Saccharomyces cerevisiae S288C: one gene and its partner. The gene in region 1 interacts genetically with each later gene. Each region holds a gene or a part of one and is shown in the gene's direction. Other genes may lie near its edges.

The links. A genetic interaction does not mean that the proteins touch.
Region 2: mutations in RRT13 (region 1) and DPI8 together harm fitness more than expected from each alone (negative genetic interaction), as found in Saccharomyces cerevisiae (one large-scale study listed by BioGRID).

What each region holds. Positions count from the first base shown.
Region 1 is NC_001137.3:288,391-291,441, forward strand, and holds RRT13 (Rrt13p), read left to right. Parts: upstream 1-1,851; coding exon 1,852-2,409; downstream 2,410-3,051. UniProt on the Saccharomyces cerevisiae protein: May be involved in the modulation of rDNA transcription.
Region 2 is NC_001142.9:159,085-161,597, reverse strand, and holds DPI8 (Dpi8p), read left to right. Parts: upstream 1-1,750; coding exon 1,751-1,975; downstream 1,976-2,513. Other genes in the region: MRS3 (Fe(2+) transporter), read right to left, coding at 35-979; sphinganine kinase LCB3, read right to left, coding at 2,181-2,513.

The sequences.
Region 1 (3,051 bases):
ACTACTTTTCATGAATGTAGCATTTTCAAGGCACCTCTAACAATAAAAAAAACGACACCAGCAGGATTTGAACCAGCGCGGGCAGAGCCCAACAGATTTCAAGTCTGTCGCCTTAACCACTCGGCCATAGTGCCTATCATTATGAATTTCCCAAAAAAGAACCACTATCAGAGACATATAAAAATAAGAACACATCCACCGATATCTGTTACAATGAAACCCTAAAATATCATCCATTTGGGGTAGTATTCATGCTACCAGTATATCCTGTATGCGTAATATTATAGCCTTTTCCAACAGTGCACCCAAATATAATCACAAATCACCCAATTCTCAAATTCACTTGTTAAAATGAAAATACCAAAGCCTCATCATACCGTTCTATTGTCCATCTCCAACACAAAAGTACCATAATAATTTTCCGATTCGACACGAATACAGATAGATGGGCACATGGCAAACTTAGCTCAGTATGGGCTTGTAGGTTGTAAACGAGTCAGAAATTTCAACAATAAAAAATACATCAGATAGTGTTTCGATGTTCTTAATTACACGTGAATTATCAAAAACCATCAACATACCAGCCAACATCAGTGTAGGTGGAATAAAACTTTCTTACCATGTACAGTAAATGGACCATGACGCCGTGCACAAGCTTATGCATAATGAGCTAAGCGGGAAGACATTTTCAAACTACGTGATAGTTCCGACTGCCCTTTCAATTGCTAATGTAGCAATATGTTAGGAATGCAATATTCCAAAATGCTGTCTGTGTCAGTGAGAATAACAAAAACATTGAATAAACTTTTCTATGGTAATAACCACGCCAGATAAGGGCGTTGCCATCGTTTTCATTTTTTTTTTTTTTTCAAATGGTGGGGTCACCGTTGTGAAAAGAAACCTTTGATTCTCAACCATATCGGTACTCGGACTAATCACTTAAATCTTTCCAAGGGATTATCGAGAATGTCATAGTGCAAAATAATCTTAGCTTTCAATAATTTTTTCATTTGGAGTCACACTCCCGTTAAAACCTAGTCAACGGCTTCCACTTAAAGCTATCAACAAGGGGCAATTGATTTTGCATTTTCGTCTAAATGAAAGTTGCAGCCAGCAATTTACCCGAAGTTTAAATAAATCAATGCAAACCATGTTCAACTTAAACAGCAATCGCTTTCTATTACCTTGGAATTATATCAGAACGTCTATCTGCGAAGCTTTAATAAAGTACTGGAAGTTGTGTCTGAAATGTCTGTTTTGGTAAATTTGTTTGATCCTGATTATACACCTCAAAGGACCACGTTAAGTGGCCATATGACGAGTGTTATTGCGTGCTTGCAAGTTGAAGATAATTATGTCATTACAGGAGGATGTGATAAAACGATCAGAGTTTATAACTTAGTAAATAAAAGATTTCTTTTACAACTATCAGGTCATGATGGTGAGGTTTGGGCATTGAAGTATGCCCATGGCGGTATTTTAGTCAGCGGTTCTACAGGCAGAACGGTGCGAGTTTGAGATATTAAGAAAGGTTGTTGTACCCATGTGTTTAAAGGTCATAACTCTACGGTGAGGTGCCTAGATATAGTAGAATATAAAAATATCAAGTACATTGTTACTGGTTCGAGAGATAACACTTTGCACGTTTGGAAATTGCCCAAGGAGTCCTCCGTTCCTGATCATGGGGAAGAACATGATTATCCATTAGTCTTTCATACCCCTGAGGAGAACCCATATTTTGTTGGTGTTTTAAGAGGACATACGGCGACTGTAAGAACTGTCTCAGGCCACGGTAATATTGCCATTAGTGGCTCCTATGATAATACATTGATTGTGTGGGATGTTGCGCAAATGAAATGTCTATATATCTTGAGTGGACATACGGATCGTATTTATTCGACAATCTACGATCATGAAAGAAAAAGGTGCATCTCTGCCAGTATGGATACCACTATTAGAATTTGGGATTTGGAAAATATAAGGAATAATGGAGAATGTTCCTACGCAACAAATTCAGCATCGCCATGCGCCAAAATACTTGGTGCTATGTACACTTTGCGGGGTCACAGAGCCCTAGTCGGTTTATTGGGATTATCCGATAAATTTTTAGTCAGTGCTTCTGTAGACGGTTCAATAAGGTGTTGGGACGCTAACACTTACTTTCTGAAGCACTTTTTCGATCACACGCAGTTGAATACAATCACCGCATTGCACGTTTCTGATGAGGTATTAGTGAGTGGATCTGAAGGTTTGCTCAATATTTATGATTTAAATAGTGGGCTGTTAGTCCGTTCAGATACATTGAGTGGTGCTGATAATGTTTGGAACGTTAGTTTTAAGGACAACACACTTGTGGCAGCGGTAGAACGAGACAAGCGAAATCTTTTAGAAATTTTGGACTTTAGTTGAAGATTGATGTGAGAATGATGCAGAACTTACCTTGTCACGTTTGGAACTCAGTTGTACTTTTTCGGTGTAAACAAATATAAAACTTTAGAATTTACATTAATAAGTTATGTGCTATTTATTAGTTTAATATATCAACATTAATTACATGCGAGCTATGTATTATTAGCTCAATCAGCAGGACTAAAATCGAGGAAAAAGTAATTTTGTTTATGCCCAGTTCAGTTATCGTCCATTTGTAGCAAATGTGGTACAAGTTGACCCATATTTTCATGCATTGGGCCATGCAGTAATTATCACACTCACTTTGTCATAATGTATACAATGGCCGCTTATTTGCGACTCGTCTCATATTTTTCCTGAAACTGTAGCTGTGTGTAATATTATTCATTAACTTCGATAATTCGGCTACAGAAGACAAGAGCTACATCCTTACTGGTGCGAATAAATGACATAATCTGTCAAGAGTACCGAAGTAAAAGCAACGATTGCCGAACACATCTTCCTGAAGTATCATATGCCAATACAAGGTTTCAATAGGAATTATGAAAGCGGCATTATCACCCTTAATCTGAAATATGTAATGATGACGGTGCAGTATGTTGACTACATTGTAAAGTTGCACTTTCACTCAACTCATGAAAT
Region 2 (2,513 bases), on another chromosome or scaffold:
ATGAATGGAAAATAATATGACATGTAAGAACCAACTAATACGTCATTAGGAAATGTTTTGCACATTCATAAGCTGTCCATGATATAGCAGTAGCCGGCATGTTTGCCACTATCCTTGGTTTCCAACCTCTCCAAAACCCTTTCCAGCCATAAACTTGATATATGGCACTGGCTGCTTTACTAAAAGTATCCGCCTTTCTCATAATTTCCAACGAAACTGTTTGACTGCCCCTTATCTGCAGTACTGTCTTTATGCAGTCTAAAGGTGTTGTGATCGCCGCACATGTCGATCCGCTGATACTGCCACACAGACAATGTATGAGGGGGTTGTACTCATTTGATGGGTTTAAAAATTTTGTGGATGATTCATATATGACGAAATTAAATGCTGCAAATGGGATGTTCATTACTAGGGTGGTTGGGTAAGAATAATAAAATGCTGCCAAACCTTCAGATTGGTAAATCTGCTTTGTGGTTTGCCATACTGATGCCGAGGTATTGAGTTGGATTCTCTGTTTTATTGTGTCGAATGGGTTCATTAATGCGTCAGATGCCGTGGTGGCACAGGCACCACTGATAGCTGTCTTAAAAGGATGGTGCGTTTGCGTATCACTCGAATCGATAAGATTTTTTTTGCAGAACTCATACGTACCAAAATACACTGCATGCGCAGGTCCCGCACCTAGTATGACAGACTGAACACCCTTCCATAGGGCTAGAGTTCCTTCGGAAGTAGAGATGTGAGATATTTGCGAAAGCATATTCTTGGCAGACAGCGATTTCGCGTTGGCTGATTGTATTCGCGTCTTAAGGGCATCTATCGGGAACATCACTGAATGTTCCATTATACCAGCAAATGCACCCGCTATAAGTTGATGGTACAATGGCGCGTGGGTGGGGAGCGCCTCATAATCGGGTAGATCCATAGGTATTGCTGGAATTGGCCTTGTTGAATTATTACTCGACGAGTTTTCTACCATAATATCTTCTTTTTTTATAACATAAATATATTTACAGCAAACCTTAAGAGGTGTTAACGAATATGGGAATCGTGATTAATTAAGTGAAGTTACGATCCCAAGATAAAATAAGGAAGTTGTTGAAAGAGGAAAGAATCGATGAAGAAATGAACGACAAAATTACTTTTGTCAATTGTAGGGTACGAAACACCAAGAAATGCAATAAGTGCTATGTAAAGGTGATCCAGTCTTGGTTAGCACACACGCCCAGTTTCTCGAGAGACATAATGACAGTAAACGGTGAGTATAAAAAAAAAGCAAAAAAAAAAGAAAAAAGGAGCAATCGTTCGTTACAAACGATCTAGACTTGATGAAAAAAAACCCTAAAATGTCTCAGACCTAAAACAAAACCCTAAGAAGCACGTGATACAAACCTGTCACGTGCAACATTATGGGGTATGGGTGTGTCACACATTTGAAAAAAAGTGGGCGGAACGTGTGTGGGGGGGTGTCATGCCATTTCCACATTTGGTTGCTCTGGAGATAAGATCCACGAATGAAGGTGAGGGGCATGACTTCAGGGATCAATTTCCCGCCCGCAAGTTAGTTTTTCCGGTGGGAGCCGAGCATCAAGCATGACCACTTCCTGGTGCAGAGAGAAAGTTTCACACATATAAAAGAATAAACCGAAAGTAATGTAGGGAGATGTTTAATGTGATTTTTCACCTTTGTTTTAATGATTACGCACAAGTTTAAATATTACATTCATAAGACAGTAAATAAACGTATTAAATGATCGCCCAAAGTACCAGATTAGCCGCCGCCGTCTCTTCTTCAGCCGCCTCCGCGGGTGTCTCAAGGATAGCCGCTAGCGCCATGGCCAGCACTATTTTCAAGAGATCTCCGGGCAACTCGTTCAACTCTTTTAAGGAATATAGAGAAAATGCCAAGACATATGGTCCCTTGAGTGCCTCACTAGCTACCAGAAGACACTTGGCTCACGCGCCAAAGTTGTAGGCGTATCTTAATTATGCTCTTTTCTTTCCTGGTTTATTAATGATGATGACTTTAACCTATTCTTCTTTTGGGGTCCTGGTACGGTGCCTCAAATTTTTATACAACATGACTTTTTCAGTTACATATTTTTTTATAAGTACTTAATTTAGAAACGGATACATTTACACTACATTTTGTCTATTTTTTTTTTTTTGTTCCTTTTGTTTTATGCTATATTTAAGAGGGAAAATAGGACGGGGCTGCACATTACAACGGTGAATGGAACGCCAGCATAGATAATAAATCTACCTAGAATGTCAATCTTGGGCTCTCCAATATATAATGGACATTCGTACTTGCTTGCACCTTCTTTGTGCGTGGCCTCCAGTCTTTTTCTTGCCGCAACGTTTCTGTCATCCTTCAGATGGAAAACTTTGATCAATAACGTGTAGATCATCGGTTTGCTGATCACGTACTTCCAGATAACAACGCACGGTAGGCCCACCAGCAGCCTGGCTAAGGTTAACCGCCAGCCACAGTTAGGTTCCAAATTGTACAC